4 linked regions of the Caenorhabditis elegans genome follow. The protein of the gene in region 1 interacts with the protein of each later gene in a pairwise test. Each region holds a gene or a part of one and is shown on either strand. Other genes may lie near its edges. The genes, in order: hinf-1, egl-13, pax-3 and gldi-8.

Region 1 (5,527 bases):
TTTGGAAATTTCGGCGAGTTATAAAAGTTCGAAGAAGGTTTTTAGAGAGCATCTGAAGATGAAATATTATTTTATTGGGGTCTTACAATTAGCAATTTAAATTTTCAACAATCCGGCAATTATCGGTATGTTTTGAATTTTTAAAGTTCGAAATCAAGTTAAGTTCTCGAATTCGATAATTTTTCACCGTTTTTAGAAAGAAAAAACATTCTGACATTGTTTCAGAGAAATTGAAATTTAACTCTTAAAAGTTACATATTTTGTCGTTTTTTTGTTGAAAATCGAGAAATTCAGTTTTTTTTTTTAATTTTCATTTACAAAGAATGTCAATCAGTTTTTAAGAAAAATATAGAAAATTGCATCAAAAATAAAATTGGACTTTTTCGGAAAATCAGTAAATAGTTTTTCAGTAGTCATAAAATTTTCAATTCTCCAGAATTTAAATAAATTTCCTTTTGTAATCGCCTATTTTAATAGTTTTTTTTTTTTTTTGGAAAATAATGAATTGGTTTCATACCGCATTTAGAGACAAATTGATTGTCCAACAATACGTGTAGATATTTATTTCAGATTAGATAATTGAAAAAAAAAATCCAAAGTTAAAAGGAAATAATTATTAAATTATAAATTAGAACATTGAAAATTTTGCAAACAGTACAAGTATATATCAAATGTGTTTGTGGGAGAAGACACGTGGCATACGTGTTTAAAGTGAATTGGGGCATCGATCGATTGATTGTAAGACAACTTGGTGAGAGGGGTGTAGTAATAAGGAAAGAATGGATAGAGCGAGAGATCGAATAGATAGAAGCATAATAAATAGAACAAAAAAGGCGATTATTTGGTAAGAATTGGTGGAAAAAAAAAGAAAGCATGCGATTGAGAGGGGTAGAGATCAGAATATTACTGAAAGAGAATAATTAAAATGAGAGGTGTGGATAATAGGGGAATTCGCTTTAAACCACAAAAAAGTGAGCTGAAATTCAGAAATAGTTGCTTCTGTGGTATTTTTGAGCGAAATCCCCCTTCTTCCTTAACATAAAGGTGGATAAATTATGTGAGGGCAATTTAACATATTTAATAATCATTTAATATGGAACATGTTGATGGTGGTGATGGGCTTGATCCTCTCCAGACTCTCCTCTAAACAACTTTTTCGTCTGAAGTCGCATAAGTCCATCGGCACACTTTTTGTAAGTAAAACGACTGAATCCATAGGGTATCTGGAGACGATGTTGACGGGTTAAATGGCGTCCCAATGCAAATCCAGTAGTATATGTTCGGTCACACAAATGGCATGTATATGGGGATGGATTGAAATTCTGAAAATCGGATGATTAAACGATTAGAATAAAATAAATCCACGAGTTTTCTTATATCGATTTTCTGAAAAAAAAACACCGGTTACCTCATCATGTTCTTTCATATGCTTCATGAGCTGTTTCTTCCACTTAAACTTCTCCGGACAATGCTTGCAACTGTACATGACGTCAGAATGGTACACAGCGTGACGGTTGAGCTCACTCTGAAAATTTTGAAATTTTTTAAAAATATTTTGTAATAAAAAGTATGTTCGAAAGGCTGCGACACCGAGAAGTTGGCAAAAACTTTGATTTTAGCAGAAAATGAGCTTTGTTGTAGAAATTTGAGAAATTTTCAAAATGTCTCATTACGAAATTCGGTAGATTTGGGCAATTTTAAAGCCCATAAGACATTTTTTTGAACTAAAATCTAAAATTGCCTGAAGCTTGATAAATTGATATTCATTTACAATTTTTCCTAAAAATTCGACAAAAATATTTTTCTTACCTCTGTGAAGAACAATTTGCTGCAAGTATCACATTTGAAATCTTTGGATCGTCTTGAATGCTTTGTCATTAAATGCCTATGAAGTTCTGCTCGGCAACCCAATCCAAGTGAGCATAGTGGGCACGTAAGACTGACTAAATGCCGTGTAACATGCATACATAACGCTTTTTCAGTTCCAAATCGCTTTTGACACAGTTTGCATAGATACGGATCTTCCATTTCCGGGTTCTTCATCAGAATTGTTCGTCGGAGACAATGATCGTAGAGCTTGTCGCGTCGGGAGAAGAATCGAGCACAGAATGGGCACGCGAGCACCTTCTCACCGCTGTGGTGACGAGCGTGACGTCGGAGATTGGCTTTTGAATCGGCAACTTGTGTGCAGGCGGTCCATTTACACGGGAACACCACTTTTTTGTCGCCATCTGTGTAGAATATTAGAATTTAAAAGGAAATTTTTTGTTGGAATAATCTTGAGCGGAAAATTAGATGCTATTTAATTATCATCCTCAATTGCAAATTTAGGTCGTATTTCACGATTTTTCGTTGATGAAAATTCTTTTTCAGTCAATTAGTATACAAATCACCGTAATCAACAAAAAATCGTGAAATAACAGACCAAAATCTGCAATCAGGGCGATAATTAAGTAAGAAATAAATTCCGGCATTGAAAGTTGTCCAGTTAAACAAAAAATTCGATGAAAATTTCAGTTTTTTAAAGTGAAAACAAATTTCTTCAGGAAATTTAATTGTCACTGTCCAGAAATCCTTACTCACTCGAAAAATTCTGTTGAATTCTATCAACATCGCCAACACCATCAATGTGATGTCCGACATGATCAAACAGTTCGGTTAATGAGTTAAACGGCATTCCACAATCCTCCCATTGACAATTCAGCAGCATTCCTTCATAATTAATATTTGTACATGGCTCAAAACCACAACTCTCTATTCCAATATAATCTTCCTTTTCAATCAGTGCTTCTGATCCTTTTTGCTGACAATCTGCTTGGAATACGTGCATTGAGACGTGTCGGTGGAGTTGGAATATCGAATCGAGATGCTTGTTGCACCCGCGAACTTTGCACTGAACAGTATTCATATGGTTCCCATTTTGAACTCCTTCCTCGATTACTGACACGTGGCCGAATAAATGATCAACGAACTCGTCCTTGCTCGACGAGCTAGACACACATTGACCCCATAGGCAGACGAATGTGAAAACTGAAAAATTAAATTGTTTAGTTTTAAACAAAAGTTGGCGTGATGGATCAGATTGAGCCTCGTCGCGACCATGGGTTCAGCATGTGAAAATATATCGTTGAAATTGATTTCAATGTGGCTTATATTTATATTTTGGCAATACTTCGAATCCATTTTAGAAATTCAAAAAATATTGAATTTCAGAGGTTTTACACATCATTTTGTAGCCCGATTTTCAAAAAATTTCTTGACTTTAAAAGCAGTGTAAAACCTCTGAAATTCAATATTTTTGAATGTTATAAATAAATTCGAAGCACCGCCGAAATATATAAGCCACATTTAAATAATTTTAAACGATGTATCTTCTACTGAAAATTCAGAATTTATTGAAATTAAAATGCGTACCCCTATTGGGCATATACGTTCAAAATCTTCCGAACCGTTAGTACTCATTGTCGAAAATCTGAATATTAATTACCTTGTGGATCATCCGACGATCGTTCACACCAAGTCATTGGCAACCAATGATTCATAACTTCTTCGCTAAGCTCTCCGCTCTCAGAATCGTTACTCGACGCTCTGGAAGCTCGAGGAGTGTGAGTAGAAAACCTTGTTGCAGACGAGATCGGTGCAGGTGTACGGAAAGAGTCCACAGAATCCTGACTATCTGAGTCTTGACTATCAATCATATAATGTAAATGTTGTTGTGGCTGGTGCTGATGGTGGTGATGATGATGATGTGGTGGTGCTGTTGGTGCGTACAAATTATGACGGGGATCCGGCTCGGCAATTCCAAACGAATTATAGTACGGAGGATGCTGGCTGGATGGTTGATATTGAATGTCGAAATCGAATTTGACTGGTTTCAAATCGGCATATGACATACTTTAGGATAATTGAATCTGAAAAACATGATTGAAATCTCGAAAGAGACAGTAATTGAGCAGGTAGGTATGAAATGCGTTAAAATTACGCAAAAATGAAGAACAAAAAATAAAAAAATCACATTGAAATTTTAAAATTTTACATGGAAATTGAATGGCGAATAATATAATAATTATAAATAAAGTGTGGGGGAAAAGTTCGAGGGGAAAGCTACTACCGGGGAGAGTAAACTGGGTATACAAAAAATCAATAAAAGAATTTAGAACATGGCGCCCTCTGCCGGTTGCTGCAATTTCAGATTCTCTTTGGCCATCATCATGTTCTTGCGGATATCCTCGAGCACGGTCTTGATCATGTAACTATTGCTCCAGTTGCGAAGTGTTGTCAAATTTCGCTTATCAATCACTCCATTGCTCTGATTGACTCCCACCATGTGAACTTTGGTGGTGAAACGAACGGTTGGTGGCTCTCGCGGATAATTCCCGCCGCACTGGATTTGCAGATTGTAGATTCGCGATTCGTATGGAGTCTGAAAGCAAAAAACTAATAATAAAAAATGATTAATTCCGCTGACTCACTCTCGGTGGACCAATGATGGAAGCAGTCCATCTGGTGAGAGTCATATCGCTGTCATCCTCCAAACCCCACGAAATGTTTCCATCTCCCTTGCCTTTTTGTCCTTCTTCAAGTTCTTCCAGCAGACGGAAATTGCGTGGTACATCGACTGGAAAAGAGAAAAATATGCGAAAATAATCATTTTTGAATTTAGAAAGCGAACTTACCCATTTTGAAAGTGCCCAAGTTGCTGGAACGCTGAAAATTGAAATTATTAACAAAGAAATTTGCTTTAAAATCCGAAAAATCAAGAAAAAATCGATAATTTCGTCGGACAATCCGCCTGCTAGCACGGCTTGACGCTCGTTTGCCGCGCGCTCATTCGATTTGTGTGAGTGCCCAGTGGAGCGCGTTTGCTAAGGCTAACTGTGTAGTCCTCTCGGACAAGATCTGTGAACATTGAAATGAAACACTTGGGTTCAATAAAATCACAAGAAAATGATGACAATTTTGTTTGCGACCGAAAAAAAATTATAAAAATTGAATATTGGTTATCATCGTTTCAATCTTTGTTTTGTATTAAAGGCACAGCTGCTAAAAATTGTTTTTTTTTTTTCAATTTTGCTAAAAGAAAATCAATTTTCTGATTTTTTGTTGAGTTCCCGTGCAAATCAATGTCCTAGCTTTTTAAAATTGTTTTTTGTTATGTAATTCTAATCAAATTTTGTCGAATTTTCAGAGATTTTCTGCTAAAACACTAAAAATAGTCTAAAAGTCGATAATTTGATAAACATTTACTCAAACCTTTTACGGAAAAATGAAACAAAAGTTGCAAAAATATAGTAATTTCGCAATTTTCTGAACGCGTACTTAAAGGTACACGGTTTGATTCGGATTGGTCCCGCCACAAAGTGTTACCATAACATTTTTCTCGCTGCGAGACCCATCCGAATAAATCCGTGCGCCTAATCAGTGCGAGTACGCATTTCATATTACTGATAAGTGCCATTTTTAGAACAATGAGCAAATCGATTTGCAAATCAAGCATGCGCGCAGCTGTAGTCCGACGATTCGGAGC
Region 2 (4,600 bases), on another chromosome or scaffold:
CGTTAGTATCAAATTCCACAATTCATCGATGTTGCCCTTGGATAACTTGTTGTTGTGGGGATGGAGGAAACAGGGGCTAAGAATCGAAATCTATGAGCAAGGCCTGGTTAAGCCGATTATAGTCTAGAGCAGGATGGATCAAGGCCTATTTGTCAAATGGGAAAGGGCATAATGTTCGTTCAATATTGAATATTACAAGAGCTCCGTTTTGGTTTGACAACAAAAGATAGGTGTTATTAAGTGTGATATATAAAAGAAGAACAAGTGTGACAAGTGACTCCTTCCGCTGATTTGAGGTCAGTTTTTGAAAGAAAAAATTTTCGCAACAATTTCTGTTCAAGATTCGTATGAGAGTGGGACGAAAAGATGAAAAACGGGGGAACTTTTGTCGTCTTCCAGGAAGATGCAACAATTGACAAACATCTTGGCAGGCATTGTTCCATCAAGAGCTCGGGGTTCCCTGTGTCTTATCTTCCTATCAAAGATTTCAAACACGAAAAACGGATAGGAAAAAGTGATACTACGAGTACAAACGTTAGTTCGACGGATATTTTCAACACGTTCAAAATGGTGATATTTGTGGAATCGTTTCTCAAGGTGTCACACACTCTACTTACCATCAATTAACGAGACAATAGATAATCAAATAATGTCGGGGCAGGTGACAGGTTAGCAATAGTTGAACACCTAATAGAACATACGTCTCATGGCTTTGTTCCGTGTATCCGGGGCGCCGGTGACAACTGGCTCTTGTGGCGGCTGAACCTCGAAACAACGGTGCTCTTTTTCTCTCGATGTCACACTTTTTGAGAAACTGAGAAACTTTTCGTGCAATACAATGGAGCTCTCATTGCACTTTTAGTTTGGGACAAAAAATGTTGATAGGCTTGACGAGCGATGAGACACTGGGACAGTGGGACAGCGCAGATGTTTGATGAGCAGGAATGATGTTCGATTGTAGTGTTTTGCGAAGAATTGTTGTGTGATAAGTTTATGAAAAAAAAGTTAAGTCTCATGCACAACAAATAAGAAAGATTTCAAAAAAAGGTAAATCAAATATATTAGGTCTCCAAATAAGTTCTGGGTCAAAAATCATAACTTTGTTCGCTGTGTATCGATTTTCATGAAACTCTGGGAATTTATGTTATCAACTATAATCTTTCATTTAACAATAGTCACGAAATTTTTTGACCGCCCCAAGTGTCCTAACTCGGAGCCAATTTTTTCAGGCATTTTTCTGATCTCGCTTATTTTCAGCTTTGAATTGAGGGTTGTGTGCGGATTTTTCTTTGTTTAGAATACATTATTAGAAAACAACAAAAGTTTTGAAAAAATCCGTCCAAAAAAATTTTTTTTGGTTGGTCGTCAAAAAATCTTCAAAAAAATTTTTTGTCGAAAATTCTAGATTTTTCCTACAAAAATGATGTAACCATGAACCTCAATTGAAATTTGAAAAGAAGCGAGATCAGAAAAATGCCTGAAAAAATTGGTTCCGAGTTAGGGCACTTGGGGTGGTCAAAAAATTTTGTGACTATTGTCAAATGAAAGATCATAGTTGATAACATGAATTCCCAAAGTTTCATAAAAATCGATACGCAGCGAACAAAGTTATGACTTTTGACCCGGAACTTATTTGGAGACCTAATATACCACCAAATATTTCTCTACAGTGTGCCCAACGTCTATAGCACCACCCCACTAATTTGAGAGTTTGGTGTTTTTGAAAATATTTTTTGAAAAGGTGTTAGTACAGTTCAATAGAAAATGTTGAAAACCTATGGTCCTTGATTTTCACAACTTATATCTCAAAGTTTAGTTCGAAATTTTAACAATAAACGAGAAAATTATGAGGAGCCGAGAACTGGCCCCTGTCAAAAAATCCGATGAGTGCTATAGAAGTTGGATGAATGTTTTTTTTACAAAATTTTTACTTAATTTTCAGGTATCATCATAAAACTGGGGGAGCATATCCTTTGCAGCATTTGCTATCAAACTGTGCTGACGTTTTTTTCTGAAAATAATTTGGAAGCACCAAACTCCCAGATTAGAAAAGGGATGATATAGACGTTAGTTGTAATGTATTAGTCTTGTACTCTCATTGCTTTACTTTGACAGCTTCTATCTCGGTTGGCAAATTATGTGCAAAATGTTTTTGTACATTTCAACAGTAAATAATTTTTTGGTAAAACTTAAGAAGACTGATATACGAGGTAAATCCATTGGGGTGCAAGTTTAATACGGAAAATGCGGTTTTTAACTACAATCAAGTATGTCAATGATCACTCGCATGTTTCTCCCTTGAAGCTCAAGCTGAATAGAGTATGGTTTCAATAGATTCTCAATAGAGTATTCAAAAGAAATAATTGACATATACACCCTACCAAAACTGCAAACACAAGAGCAAGGATAATTCATCATCGAGATCTCCAATTATCCCTTACAGTCTGTCAAGAATACATGAATATTTGATAAGGTAAAGTATGGAAGAAGAAGGATAACACAAAGGATAGATAGAAAAGAAGAAAAAACAATTATTTATGGAATTGGCAGTGCCCATAGGAGGCACATGATGATAAACTCGGAGTTAGCTAGGATATTAAAGGGATCATGAGCAGTGACGGGTGCGGCGATTTGGCCTACTATTATTATGATCAACAACGGCACACGACAAGGAGAAAATAAGACTAGACAAAGTAATAATTCTTTGAAATCTGTCACCAAATCTGGAAGTGTTGCTCTTGCTCCAAATGCGCAAATATAGGCAAAAGTGTGAGAAAAGTAAAGTTGGTGAGGAAGAGAATACTTACCAGATGCTTGCTGGTGCAAATACTTGTTCTACTTGTTTTGTTATTTCAATGAAAAAGCAAAACAGTGCTCACAACATTAAAAGGGGAAAGAGCATGGCACAGTAGAAACTAGAACGGAAACTAGTTCTTACTCACCACTATAGAGCCATTCGGGAGATTGTTGTTACTGATCCAGCAGTATTATGGAGTATTGATTTTATTTGGAGTGTCTGGAATTTTAAATTTGCGTTTGTAAATTCAAGCCTGAAGAAAACATTGAAAAAGAAGAATCAAAAGCGTTAGAAATTGAAACTAGAGAAACTTAAAAAGGCCGATTATTTGAGTTCAGTGGCATTATTAATTCAAACGATTCACACGCGCTGAATGAATTGTGAATTATGAAGGAGAACAAAGATATTGCACAGATATATATCAGAAATTCCTTTTCTTCAATTGAGGATAGTCTCACGATTTGTCCTTTGAGGGTAAGAAGAAAAAGAAAAGAGAAAAGGTTCAAGTGAATAAAAGATGGGGGCAAAATGGAAAAATGAGAAAAAAAATGTTTGGTTGAAAGTAGAAAGCAACACTTAGAGAAACATAAGTTCAGTAGTCAAACAGAAAATATAACTAGTTGTCCCACAAGGAAGCCTATGGTATTAATTTTTTGTTTTGGACTGTTCACGAAATTTCATTGGTCACTAGTTTCAGACATGGTGACCCAATTGAACTGGCAATTTCAGACAACAAACTTTGAACCAAGAGAAGAAGAGAGAGGGAGAAAACAGGAAAAAGCTGGTATTGGTTGTCTAGGTGATTGGAAGAGGGAACTGGTATCAGACAAGTGGTTCAAGGTAGTTGTGTTCCATCACACAATGAAGAGAATGAAAGAGAGTGACCACCCCACCTGAAAACAAAACTGACCACGCAATTTGTTTGTCCTCTGAATCGTCTCACAATAAGTTACACACTGTGCCCTCTTCTCTGCAAAGTGGGTGGTGGTGGTGTGTTGTCGGAGAGACACGGTGGGGACCCGCGCTTCTTCAGAACTGGATGTGTTGACCAATGGCGCAAAAGTTTTCCAAAGAACGCGAAATGGTAATAGGTCGAGAACCACTTGCAACAATTCCATAATGTTTCTTTTAGTTGACACAATGCACCTACTCAACCTCGTTTCGAAGATTCGGAAATGCATTTATGATAGACTAAGAGGGCATCGCAATACGAGGACGGGAATCAATCATAATGTATTTTAGGTGGACATTTTAGCTTTTGACAGTAAAGAATATTGAAACACACTGAAATTGTATTTCAATATAGCCTAGAAATTTTAAGTAGGCCAAAAAGTTCTAACTATAGTGAGAGGTTATGACATCTAGGAACTTGGAATATTAAAAAAAATCTTAGTTACTACATACAACAAAATCCTAGAGTATACGAACTCTTATATAAGTCTATATAAAATAAGGTCAAAAGGCTATCACAAATGAAACCGTAAAGATACGGTTTTCTAGTTCAAGAATATACAGAGTCGCCCATAATTATGGCGACCACTTTGCAGTAACTCAACGTTTCTGTTTTTGGAACGAGATATTAAAACAAGTGAACTTACACAGTTATTAACCACCCTGAATAACTAGGTAAATTAAATAGGTTTGCATATTTAGAATTGTTAAAAACACAAGAACTGAAAAAACACATCGAAATGTTAAAATTTTAGATCTATGCTTGAACTTGAATTTGAGATTGAGACATTTAGTATTCCGATTTTCTAAGCAAACTCAAATACTGTTGCACAACGCGTGATGTGACTAATG
Region 3 (7,837 bases), on another chromosome or scaffold:
TGGGTGAATTCTTAAGGTAATGTTTTAAAATTAATTCTGGACTTTCAAATTAAATTTGTGTATCAATTTCTGATCGACTTTCAAATATCACAGGTTTTATTTGAAAGTTCAGAAATAAGTTCAAAGCGTTTAGCTTGATGATGGCGGAGATGATTGACTTGATGGGGGACTTGATTGGAGTATGTGTTGAAAGAATAACGGATTCAATTGAGGACTCGTTGAGTAGGAGGGTAGGAACATCATCGGTGAAGGCAGCAGCGTTGGGTAGGACTGAAAATCAAAGTTTTAGTAATTTGTTTTCTAATATATAGTTTCGATTTCTAACTAACCGGCGGAGATGATCCAAAACCTTGAACATTGTACTGTTGATACATTGGCATATTTTTCCGACATCTTGCTCGCCGATTCGAAAACCACGTCATAATTTTCTCTTCGCTGAGCCCTGTCTCCTTGGAAATGCTCTCTCTGGCGTTGGCATGTGGGTAAGTGTCTGCGCGGAACGCATTTTCAAGAACATCTAGTTGCTCGGCAGTGAATGATGTACGATTTCGACGAGACGATGCGTCGTTTGATGGTGAAGAGCCCTCTTCGTCATCCGATGACGATTTGCTGCATTCGTCTGAAAATTATTTTTTTGAAAGGGGTTATCATAGCTACCATTTTTGGGTACGTGAATGCATTTTTGAATTTTCATTAACAAACTCTATACATCCTCTCTCTATACAGACTTTCGAAATGTGGAACTAATATTTTTCATCTGCCATTTTTTTCATCCGTTGAAAATCGAAAGGGCAAATGTTCCAGGCGTAATTAAAATAACAAACATTTTCAATAGCATGCGACGTCAAAAGTTGAAGTAACTATTGCAACTAGAATATATTTGATACCAGGGAGGCTCTAATGAATAATGAGCATGCTGAAATGCCTTTCTGAAAGGCTTCCGGACTCGCCTGCCTCGAGACTGAAAATTATTTGAGTTCCGCATACGTTCTATTTCAAAAATTCAAAATCAGACCCCCGCCTATCAAGCATTTTCCCTCAAAATCCGGAAATCAATGAGTCAATTGTAAGGTATCTAACAGAGAAAGACTACGGCCTGCCAGTCGAGTCGCCCAATTACTATATATAATGTTGCGCCACAGTGGGTGGTCTCAGTCATGTCGTAGGCCTCTCGCATAGACACACTTCTCTAAAAATAATCGATAAAGATCGGGAGAGACCCTATTGCGGGTGGGGGAGGGGGGGTGTCTCTTCTAATTTATAGACTTGACACCTTTGTGTACTTGAGAAAGAGATATCATGTGGTGGAATGGACCCTATTAATTTGTTTTTATCGTTCCATTTTTTGACGGATCACTCCATCATCACCGTCGTTTCTCACATCCAAGTTTTATGAGCTGTGCGCTAATCGGTTTCTGTCACAGGAGTATTTTATAGTGACGGAAGGAAGGAAGGTAAGGTTATTTCTATACAATGTTCTAATTTGAAGAATGTCGATTTCAAGGATGCTCAACTTGATCTTTTATCTCATTAATATTTTTCATCCGTTCTTGTCAAATCAAAGCAGATTTCTACCGCACTTAGTCCTCTTTCTGGTAATAGTCTGCAGAAAACTTTAGCTACTTGCCGAGTAGAGTAAGATTTTCAAAAATGAATTCTCCCTTAAGCATACTGTAGTTTTTAACGATATCGTTCTATAATTCCCAATGCTCATTAAGAACGGCGCGGGGGAGTGCTATAATATATTCCCATTGAGCAATGTATTCTGAGCGTATTCCAGGAAGAAGAAACTTTTGTTTCCATTTCTTTTTTCACCTGGAACTTTATCACTCCAGTCTCTGATACCTAAATATCAGTCGTTGCGTTGTGTTTTCAACGGCTACCTATTTTTGGAAAATATTAATTTTTGTTACTTATGAATGTAATAGAAATATAGACATGTGGAAAATCATGGAAGTATTCTGACAAATTCGGGAAATTTCTGAAAAATCACGTTACCGCACCGCCGAGTTCAAACTTTGGTTCAAGGTTTGTGGTGGAGAGAGGGTAACTCGGACTCGGTAAAAACTTGATAATAAACAAGCTCACAATGATCTGTCATGCCTGCCTGCCTTCCAGGCAAGCTGACCAACACCTACTAACGATCTTGCGCAACATACCGTAACCCACATCCCTAACAATCATATTGTCAAATGTCAAATGTCAAAGTTTTAATGTGTTAAATTGCGGATATGTATTATGTTCGTATGCATGTGTTTGCTTTTTTTCGCGCATCCCAATCTTCTCTCGCGCCAGTCACTCGTGTGCCCATCCTGATCAATTGGCCGCGAAAATATGGAATTTATTGGATCGTTTTCTCCTCCTCCTACCTACCTATTTGAATAGGCACCTATCAAGTGCGCAAATCTTCTCCCCCTATCTTAATTGCTACGTGTATGCGAAAATGTGCGAAGTTGAGCGGTGGTTCACAATTTAAGGAATGACAAGATTGACGACAAGTTAGGAAGCGGGAAAAAACGGGACAGGAAGAGAGGGGAAGTGTTGAAAGTTTTGGAAGACAAGAAGTTGAAACAGCAGGAGGTAGTGGCATGACCCCTAGAAATTCAAGTAACTTGCAAAAACATAAGTTTGTGGCTGTCTAGTTTCTTATAAAAAGTAGGCTAAAAGTTTTGGAAGTTTTAAAAACCAAAAATTTCACTTTTATTCGTTCTATATAAACAGTCTCAAAGCTGTTGTTAAACTTGAATTTTCAGACAAAGATTTAATGAAACTGTTTGGAGTGCCGAACATGATAAAAATGCCTGCCTGCGTGCCTACAAGGTAGGCGTATGATGCCTGGAATTTGACATGCTCTTTCTTTAGATTACGATTTTCTTGCACAACTACCGTACCCTACCGAATGTGATTAACAACTGAGCACAGATCAAACAAGATTTTAGGATCAAAAGTGCCTGCTTACCGGACATCAAGGCGACCTACCTATAGGCTTCACAATGCAACATCAGACCCTAGACTTCACACCAAGATGTAGACGAATAGGCAGTAGGCAAGCTAACAGGTAGGCCTGAAGACACGCGGGACATTCCGGTACGCTTGTTGCAGATCAGGAGAAACAAAATGCGGTACACTACCGTAACCCGTAATTCAATCAGTCATGGTTCTCTCCCTGAAGATCTCCGTGGCGGCGCACAGCATGCAACTCACAAACAAATACGATGGTCTTGTTGATTAAAATCAACCCCTGACGCGTGCCCCCTTGTCTAATTCACATCATTCTTCACCGACGCTTCTTGTCCTTTCCGCCCCCACTTCTTCAACGTCTTCGCCTTTATCGTCTTATCACACCGTTAACATACACAGCGACATACAGGCGATACTAATCAAAGTGTTAATGACCGTTATTATATCAAAGAAGTCCAATATACAGTATGCCCTCTGGCCCCTTTGGGAATATTGGGAGGAATGAAAACTTTCATGCTACGTCTGTTTGTGTGTTACTATATGGCAGAAGAAAATTGAATTGAAAGAACGGAATGTTGCCTGATTGAACAGGAAATCCGACACCCAAAAAAGGTGTTGGAGGACATGAGACAAACGGAACGAAATTATAAATGTGTGAAATCAAGACTATTCCAATTAGACCACTTACCAATTGAAATTCCCAGAATGCTGTCGATACTGTAGCTCAGCCGTTTTCGTTCCATTTTCTTCGGAACCCCGACGCCTGCAAAAAAGTATGTGGTGATTTGTGTGAAGATAAATATTGATAAGGAAATTAAAACAAAAAAAAGTGATAAGGAAGATATGATGAAAAAGTGCAGCAAAAAAGATGATATGATTGGCGTGAAGAAATGATTGATGAGGTTATAGAAAGTGATAATTTGATCGAATATGTCTAGAAGTTCTTCTTGTGAGGTTTGTTGAATTTTTGTGGAAAATCACGCATCAAAAAATGACGCCCAAGCAAGTTTCCATGAAAGTATTCGAAACAAAAAAAATCGTTGTCAACAGTTAAACAAACACAACCACAGCTATCAGAAGCGGAACATTCATCAAACGAAACGAATTTCTGTTTGTTTTTCATCTATTCCTCTACCTTTTTTTTGCCTTCACAGTTTTCATCATTATTATACCTTTATTCCCAATAAGCCTTTTTATCGCAGGTACTGTTGGAGCATTTCCTTTTGTGCAAATGTCTTTGTGAATAAGCCAATCTCGGAGCTCTGCAGCGCTCATTTGTGGATTCTCATCACATGCGATCAGAATTTCTTTCTCGACGGCTTGGACTGTAAGTCGAGCGCGGGGACTTCCACCGATCTGAAATTAATTCATAGATATTTATGTTTAAAAAGCATTTGCTTTCGCTAGGCTTATGTAAGAAATATGACGAATATTTTCGGCAAATCTACAAAACTGCCCAATCCCAGATTATAACTCTTTTTTTTATTAAATTAAATGTAGAAATATAGATAGAAAAATATTTGATCAGTTTGAAAATATCAGTTATTTGCATTGAAATAGTCGAGAAAAATTTCAAAAACTGTTTCAAAGTTGTCATTTGCCGAAAACGTTTTGATATCAGTTCTTGGAAAGTTTCAGGTTGTTTTTGAGATGATTTTAAAGTTTATAAATGAATAAAAATTGTTTTGTATATTTGCACTCCCCGTTCTACACTCTTTGCCGTTTTGCAACCAACAAAATGGAATTTTCAAGAATTCAAAGTTTACTTTTTTTGGAATTGTAATTACCGTATGTTTTTGGTAACCAAAAACCTAGTAGACAACAACTACTTTAACAGAAACACAGACATCCGACGCATTTTTTGAAAAATGCCGAAAAGTGCCACCCGGGGCGTCGCACCTGCGCGACCCGCCAAAATTGAGTATTACGGTACTTTTTTGAATCAGGACGACGACACGCGGCACGTGTAGGCAAACATTAAATTTTATGGTTATGATTCGCCTGCCTGATGACCTAATTAGCAAATTATCTTATCATCCAGAAAATGCACTGACCTGTCCCGGAGATATTGAGCCCGTCTCGGCGTAACGATTCAAGATTTTCGAAACAGCTCCATGAGATACTTTGAGTTGACGACTGATGTGACATGGTCTAAAAGATTATTGTTAGTGTTCTCTAGAAGTTCGGACTACTTACTTTATACCCTTTTTGGCCATTGAAATGATAGCATGACGAACGTGAATTGGAAGGGGTCGACCGTTGATGAAAACTCCACCGAGTTGGTTAACACGACCCTGAATTAATTTTGGGCTTCAATAGAGGCGGTGAGAAAGGAGAAGAAATTGAGACTTGGAAAACTCAAAACATATTTTCAAAAACTTTTCAAATGCTATGAAAATCTAACTTAAGGCTAACTATAGTAATGATACTATCTAATTTTTGTGATGCTTGATGAGCTCTATTAACAATAAATCAAAAGTTTCTATAGGCTACAACTTCAAACTGTATAATTAACAAGAGCTTAATTTTAGCTCCTTAAAACGTCTGAGCCAGTATAGAAATAATTCGAAATTAACGTACATTCTAGAACCATCTAGAATTTCCAAAAATTTCTTCAATCAAATTTTTCCGGGATACATCTCCTACTTCTAGACATTAAAAAATACCTGAGCAGTAGTTTATGCACTACAACTAGAAAACAACTTATCGAAACCATAGACTTACCTGCCCAAGAATGTGATTAAATGTGATAGAATCTGTGGTCATTTTGTTAGTAGTGGATGGGATATCAGGAGCACGTATGGCTGGCCCCCAATATACCGAATGTGTGAATATCAGGTATATAGCGTGAAAACTTAAGGAGCGAGTAGTTTCGAGGTGACACGCCTTGTCGAACTGTGAATGGGCGGGACGGCGATCCCGCCCACCTATGCGCATGCGCGGTCTGTTACAGGCATGCATAGTCTCGAGTACGGTAATCGAAACCAGCGAGACATAGAGAAGGGCGAAAGACACGGGCGGTAAGCATCAAAGGACGTACTAGTAGATGTTGGCGCGGGGTATGTGGGTTTGTTATCAGAGATATTCTGACTAGGAGGTGGATTTTTGGAGATGAAGATTTATGTGCTCGATGGTTTTGATTTGAAAGGTCAATGTTTGGTAGTAGCACCTGCAAAATGGTGATTCACCTGTGGATAGTCTCGAAGAAAAGGACATCTAGGAGCGTGCGGATCTTGCAGATTCAAAATATTTGCAGATAGCTACATAGATCTAAGCAGTCCACCGTGCTTCTGGGTGAAGCTAGAAGTAACTCTAACATGAAACTGGAACCAGAAACGAATACTTCAAAACTTTAAAAATCGTTCATGTCCATTAAAAGCTTAAACAGCGTTAGAATTATTCATGCTACTAATATTTGAAAACAGCTTCTTAATGGATTTCAGACAAAGTTTACTTTCTTTGTTTGCTTTTTCGATTATGTGATTTGTTGGACTTACCTAACACAAAAATAATTTTCTGATTACCAAAAACATACATATTCCAAAAGTTGCAATTTCACGGAAACAAGAACAGATAGAACAAACAGACAACTTTCGAGAGTAGTGTAACTTGTTGGCAATGACCAATTTCCCCATTTTCATTTCCAGTGTTCAAAAGTGTAAACATATTTTACAAACAAAAGAGGTCAGGAGGAAAAGTGCTTCGAGGATACGGTACAAATATTTCCAATGAGAAATTTAAAGATATGACTTTGCAAAGATCGACTACATTCTTGCCTACCAGCCTACGGGTAGGTTAATTTGAAATCTGAAAAAACTAACATATATATGTATCTGTAATTTGAGACCAGTGTTAGTTGTAAGTTTGGAAAAATAGTTGTCACCTCTATTCATTCAGATTTTCAAGTATTTCTATAACTATTCTTTTTTCAGTATCCCTTTACTCTGTCTTATCTGATTATTCAATTTCAGACGTTCTTTTAGACCTATCTGTTTTGTGTCGGCCCGACTTAAGAACCTACTTGTCTTATCTCGATCTACAATGTGCAAAACAAGTTCATCCGCGAACTGTCAATCAATAAATTGCTCGCAATTAGCGAGTCGGTGTTTGGGAGGGCTCGTGTTGGGAAAGTTTATGTCATTGAGATGAATAATGGTATTTTTAGTTGTTTACCGACGGTGTCTAAAGATATAAATCTATTCTAAACTACACAATTGGAGAATTATTTGTGAGTTTCAGTTAGAAACAAAACGTGAAAATATGTGAAATAATGTGAAATAATCCTAGTCATTAATCCTTTATTACCCCATACAAATAGCCTTTTAATACCGAAAACACCTGAAAACTACACGTGCATTACCCAATCAACAAGTAGGGCCCAATTTCTTTTTCGGCACGTGTCACATCATCATTTCCTTCTTCATCTTCCCGGATTGCGCAAGGTTGTCTTACACCATTTTCCTGATAATCTGGGACCATGTTATCAGGGGGACGAAGAAACGGTGGCGGTATCGTTTGAAGTGGTATGCGGTCATAATTAAGGGCCACGCGCCGATGTCAACTTTTGGGGGTCTTCACACCTTTGTAACACTTGGATATATCTTTATCTATCTATCCGGAGAAGTGTGAGATGATGATGATGCGGGGTTTTCCGCTATCTGAAAAGGGCATCATCTATGGAGAATTGATGGGCTGAGTGCGGGAGTTTGTTGACAAAATGTGAAAAGAGTTTGTCCCAGCCACCGTGTTACAGTGTCTCATTAAACTCTACAATACTTATGTCATTATTGTAATTTCTCAAATAGATGATACAACACTTTAAAGGCACACACTGTTTGAAATGAAACATTAGAAAATATACTAACTTCAAATTAAA
Region 4 (5,227 bases), on another chromosome or scaffold:
ACAGCCGCCTCGCTCAAATGTATTTTGATAAAAGTGGCTATTTAGGCTTAAGCCGCGCCATACCGCCGGTGTGTCATAAGGATTTCCTATATTTTATTCCAGTTGGGCACCCTAAGTCTAAATAGCTCTTTTTCTTTTCTTTTGCGCTCCAAGCGCAAGGAAAAACCTTCTTGTAACTTTTTAAGAGGGTTTCATATATTTTATTAAAATCGGGGCGAAGCCCTGATTTTAATAAAATATATGAAAAATCTCTACATAGCGTCAGTGGGGGAGCGTTAGCTAAGCCAAAAAAAAAAAAAAGCCAAAACCAAAGCCTAAGCCAAAGCACAAGCCTAAGCCCAAACCTAAGCTTTAGTCAAAGCCTGAAATCAAGCCTAAGCCTAATTCTAAGCCAAAGCCTAATCCTAATATTAAGCCTGTTCGTAAAACTAGGCCTGTTCTCGGTGAGACAACTACCCAATATTTTTCAATGTCATCAAGCTTGAAATCCGCTGGCTGGAATTAATTTGCAGAGGAATAGGCTTCACGCATTTTAATTCATTTATTGTGTTGAAATCTCTACATGAATATCTAGTAAACTCGGTTGGAACCCGTTCGGACCGGTATTTTGAAAATAAAGGGGGGGGGGGAGGTGGGAAAATTACAGCAAAATCTTGAACATTTGAATCTAGAGAAATTTAGAAAATATCGTCCATTTCCGGTAATTCTTCCAATGCTGATCGAGATTTGGGCGCATCCTTCTCATGAACTCTTTTGATGTGCTTCCTCAATTCTGATGGAACCGGATAGGATTTGTGGCAAATTGTGCATTCAAAGCGATTGGATTGTGAATGAACACGAGCCTTGTGTGTTGACAAAGCGGTGACCGTTGTGAATCGTTTTCCGCATTCAATGCAAGCATATGGATGCTTGGGCTGAAAATTTTAAATTTTAATTCATTAATTTTAAATTTTCATTCATTAAAGGTGGAGTAGCGACAGTGGGGAAATTGCTTTAAAACATGCCTATGGGGTCACAATGACCGAATATCATGATAAAAAAAATTCAAAAAAAAAATTAAAAATTTTATATGATTTTTTGAAAATTGAAAAAAAATCTCGAATTGCATCAATTTCCCATTTAAACTTCCCGCCAAGTGATTTTATCGATGGAGCGCGCTTGCTCGTTTTTATTTTAATTTATTGTTATTTTTTCTTATTTTTCGCCGATTTTTCATGTTTTCAGTGTATTTTTATGAGAAATTTGAAGAAAAAGCCAAAATAATGCAAATTCTCGATTAAAAATCAACTTTACAAGCGTAAATCTGTGAAATCAAATACTACTGGCTCCAAATCGTTTAAAAGTGGTACTTCTTCGTTTTTACGCTTGCAAAGTTGATTTTTAATCGAGAATTTGCATTATTTTGACTTTTTCTTCAAATTTCTCATAAAATTACACTGAAAACATGAAAAATCGGCGAAAAATAAGAAAAAATAACAATAAATTAAAATAAAAACGAGCAAGCGCGCTCCATCGATAAAATCACTTGGCGGGAGGTTTAAATGGGAATTTGATGCAATTCGAGATTTTTTCAATTTTCAAAAAATAATATAAAATCTAGAATTTTTTATCATGATATTCGGTCATTGTGGTACCATAGTCGTGTTTTAAAGCAATTTCCCCACTGAGCGTAGTCCACCTTTAAATTCTTATCCTTACCGATTCAGCGCTAATGTATCTCACAGCCGTGACATTTGGATCGTTCTTGGCATCTGGATGTTTTCTACCAACATGCCGGAGCATTGATTGTCGGCTCGCGAAGCTCTCTCCACACACTTGACACGATTTATCCCTATAGGAGACTGGGCTTGTGATTGGCCCAGGCTGACAGCTTGAGAATGATGCATAACTGACGGTGGAAAGAGCTGGGCTTGACGGCAAACTTTGTACTTTCAGAATCTTCGATACTCGCTGTTTTTCAATAATTTTCTCCCTATTCTTGCAGTACCATTCGTGAGTTTTGACAGATGTTGATGGGAATAGCTCCTTGCAAATCGAGCACGGCGCCTTCCATACTTCAAGTTCATCCGCATCCTCTTGATGATGCCGGATTATGTGACTTTGCAACGATTTTTCAGATTGAAAGACCAGTGAGCAGTTGTCGCATTGGATTTCCTTGAGATGGAGGGCCATATGAGCATCAAGGTTCTTCTTGCGCTTATAAGCTTTTCCGCACAGCTTACAACGATGCTTTAATCTAGACAAATCATGCACTTGATCAGTGTGAATCTGGAGAGCTTCAGCGTTCGGGAATGCTTTCGAGCACATAACGCAAGTGAAAATCGATCCAGCAGTGTGTGGCTTCAACAGAGAATCTTCCAGCTGTTGCTTTTGCTCGACTTTCCATTGTGATTGGCTCATTCGGATAAGCGATTGAAGTTCCTGGAATAAAAAGTTTCAGTTGCAAATTAAAAAAAAATAATCTTACCTTCGCCTTCTGCTCAAGCTTCTCATCTCCAGAATCGTTTAGCCTGCGCTCGATCCTTTCTTGGAGGTCTTGATAAGCGTCTTTCCGTTCGTAAGGATACTTGATTTGGACATCTTCCTCTTCCTCGTCTTCGGATTCAACTTCTTCAGCTACCTCGGGAACTCTTCGGTCTTCCGGCTCAAATTCCAATTCTTCAATGAGTTTTTGGAATTCATTGACATTTTTGTTCTTCTGAAAATAAAAAAATAAGTAAAATTGGTCGGCGGTAGTGAGAAGACCTCAGCATAAAGCATCTGAGTAGGTTTAATTTTCCCAAGTTTGAGTTTAGTTTTTTTGGTTGGTTTAATTGGTTTAATTACATTTTTGTTCGAGGATAAACATTGTCACTGACACACCCAATGGCTTCGAATAGTGTTTGCCGAAAAAACACAAGATTTGATCGAAAAAAAAGCCATTTTTAAAGAAATTTGACATTTTTTAATAAAGGATAACCGTTGAAAAGTTGTTAGCGTCCGCTTCAGAATTTGACGATGATGAGCAGCTTGTCACAGGAGTTAAATCAGCGTACGACATTGGATAATCGTAAATCTCCATTAAAAATGAAGAAATAGCGCAGAAAATTGACGAAACTGGTTGTGTGTTCACTTCGAAAATCGATGAGCGCGTGACGAAAGAGGGGGGAGACGCGTCGCGGTCGTGCGACGCGTGCAGCAATGCTTCGGTGTTTGCGGACTTGCTTACCGTATACCTGGAGAAAATTGCGATTTAAAAAAAAAATTTTACATAGTTTTTCTAGTAAAAAAAGGAAGAAAAAATGGATCTGTGCATTAATCCTTTAAATTTTCGTCCAAATATTTGATATAATTAAAAGAAAAACTCAAAATTTCTCTGAAAACCGCATATAATTTTGAAGAAACTATTACCATTAACTTTTTTTGCGCGCCGATACCCATCTGAAAAATATTGTGCACCTTTAAAAACACATTTTTAGACTGGAGAAAGAAAAAAATTCGATTTTTTTAAAACTGTTTTTGGAGAAAAAACCAAATTTTTTGAAACTACAGTACTCCTTAAAGGCGCATACCTTTTTCCGCATTTAACAAAAACAATTTTCGTGTCGAGACCCCCGGGGACCTTAGTTTTGGACTACAGTAATCTCAAAGTCCTATTCAATTGGATTGGAAAAACGAAAGGGAACAAAGAATTCTTCTTTTTTCACTTTTTCGACCTTTCTTCTCTGCGTCTCTCCGATATTCACACTATTTTTTATTTCAAAAAAGTATTGCACTTTTCATGGCCACCCACTATCTTTTTGGCGCCCAGGTGGCCTTGGGAGGGAAATTTTTTTTTTTTTTTAATTTTTCGAAAAATTTGAATTTTTATGTCTGTTTGCTTGTGTGTGTGCGTGTGTGTGTCTATAAAATGCAACAAAAATGTAGGTTCTTTTGATTTTTATGATTTTTTTGTCATTTTTTTTTTGAAATTCTTCAAGTTTTTTTTTTTTGTTTTTGCTGGTTTGTTGCTGGAAAAATGGGATATTCCAATCACAGGTATAGGGGATAGAAAAAAAGAGAAACAGAGAAAATGGGGGACAAAAAGAGAGAGGATTACCGCGTGCAGAGAGGTCGTTTGTGTGGTTTTTTGAATTTTTGTTGGAAAAATCTTTTAAAAAAATAATAGTAGGAGATTTCGAGAGAGAGAGAGAGAGCAAGTTTATTTATACAACAGTACTAATATTGAGGGGAAAATGGGAAAAAATTTTGATTTCGGGGGAATTTTTTGTTGAAAAAATCCAAAAAATCCAAAAATCCACACACAAAAAACCTCCCCGAACACAAAAATTACACCAAACAGTGGGGGGTGGGGAAAAAAAAAGACGACCTCGTAATTGTTAATGAGGGAAATAAAAATAGTTTCGAAGATCATTAAGAAGAGACTGAGAGAGAGAGTGGGATTGGGCGGCGGCGGGCGTTTCGCGGGACGAAAAATGAATCCCGCACGATGAAAAAAAAAAAATGAAAAAAAAAGGAAAAAGATAAAATAGGATATTTCAACTGTGAAAAAAAACAATAGAAAATGATGATGGGATGAGATTTTTCACAGCTCAAAAGCTTGAAACCCACAGAAAAAAAACAACGAATGGAGGGGAGGGGGGAATCATTTTTAAAAATATATATTACAGATATAAATGTGTACGTATATTATATTAAAAATGATTTTTTTTTAGAGAATAAAATACTACAGAAAACACGGCTCAAGTGAGAGTACCGAGATGATGAGACACATATTATTGGGTGGGTGGTTGCAATATTAAAGAATCGCAGATTTTTCCAGCGAATCTGATTATTCGGTCGGGGATTAGGCAGCGGACAGAGTGGGGGTGTAAATACATTGAAATATTTGAGAATCATGGGAGAGAGAGAGAGAGAGAGAGATATGCACAAAACAATGAATGACCATCAAAAAATCTCAGGAGGATTGAAAATTGGCGATGAGCAGCAGTAGCAGCAGTAGCAGAAGCAGCAGCAGAGAGTTCAAATTATAGACCGATTGTCGACGGCATCATGAACTTTTTCCGTTCCAGCAGTGTTACCGTTGACATCGAACTGAAAAAAAAATACGCGTTTTGAGAAATGTGCATTTTTTTTGTTCTTTTTCGGATATACTCCTCTGACAAAAAATAAAATTTCCTGAGCAAAGTAAAACTCCTACGTATTCTTGCATAGAAATTAAGGATCTTAAAGATTCTTGCTACTCAGA

What was found.
Region 2: the proteins of hinf-1 (region 1) and egl-13 interact in a two-hybrid assay, tested with the Caenorhabditis elegans proteins (one large-scale study listed by BioGRID).
Region 3: the proteins of hinf-1 (region 1) and pax-3 interact in a two-hybrid assay, tested with the Caenorhabditis elegans proteins (one large-scale study listed by BioGRID).
Region 4: the proteins of hinf-1 (region 1) and gldi-8 interact in a two-hybrid assay, tested with the Caenorhabditis elegans proteins (one large-scale study listed by BioGRID).

What each region holds. Positions count from the first base shown.
Region 1 is NC_003279.8:14,789,424-14,794,950, reverse strand, and holds hinf-1 (C2H2-type domain-containing protein), read right to left. Parts: upstream 3,912-5,527; 5' UTR 3,894-3,911; coding exon 3,488-3,893; intron 3,031-3,487; coding exon 2,584-3,030; intron 2,469-2,583; exon of another isoform or gene 2,380-2,468; intron 2,232-2,379; coding exon 1,810-2,231; intron 1,526-1,809; coding exon 1,409-1,525; intron 1,323-1,408; coding exon 1,089-1,322; 3' UTR 545-1,088; downstream 1-544. Other genes in the region: mrps-27 (Ig-like domain-containing protein), read right to left, coding at 1-52; uev-1 (Ubiquitin-conjugating enzyme E2 variant 1), read right to left, coding at 4,154-4,423, 4,473-4,618, 4,677-4,680; F39B2.3 (15-oxoprostaglandin 13-reductase), read left to right, coding at 5,469-5,527.
Region 2 is NC_003284.9:5,662,253-5,666,852, reverse strand, and holds the start of egl-13 (Transcription factor egl-13), read right to left. Parts: upstream 3,017-4,600; 5' UTR 2,943-3,016; intron 2,489-2,942; exon of another isoform or gene 2,349-2,488; intron 366-2,348; exon of another isoform or gene 173-365; intron 1-172.
Region 3 is NC_003280.10:10,144,738-10,152,574, reverse strand, and holds the start of pax-3 (Paired box protein 3 homolog), read right to left. Parts: upstream 6,006-7,837; 5' UTR 5,728-6,005; coding exon 5,686-5,727; intron 5,256-5,685; coding exon 5,158-5,255; intron 5,113-5,157; coding exon 5,016-5,112; intron 4,318-5,015; coding exon 4,134-4,317; intron 3,725-4,133; coding exon 3,650-3,724; intron 620-3,649; coding exon 330-619; intron 271-329; coding exon 130-270; 3' UTR 1-129. UniProt on the Caenorhabditis elegans protein: Transcriptional activator. Regulates the lateral/ventral epidermal cell fate decision.
Region 4 is NC_003281.10:12,595,468-12,600,694, forward strand, and holds gldi-8 (C2H2-type domain-containing protein), read right to left. Parts: upstream 3,218-5,227; 5' UTR 3,062-3,217; coding exon 2,960-3,061; exon of another isoform or gene 2,699-2,959; coding exon 2,468-2,698; intron 2,422-2,467; coding exon 1,699-2,421; intron 915-1,698; coding exon 678-914; 3' UTR 527-677; downstream 1-526. Other genes in the region: epc-1 (Enhancer of polycomb-like protein), read right to left, coding at 5,007-5,073.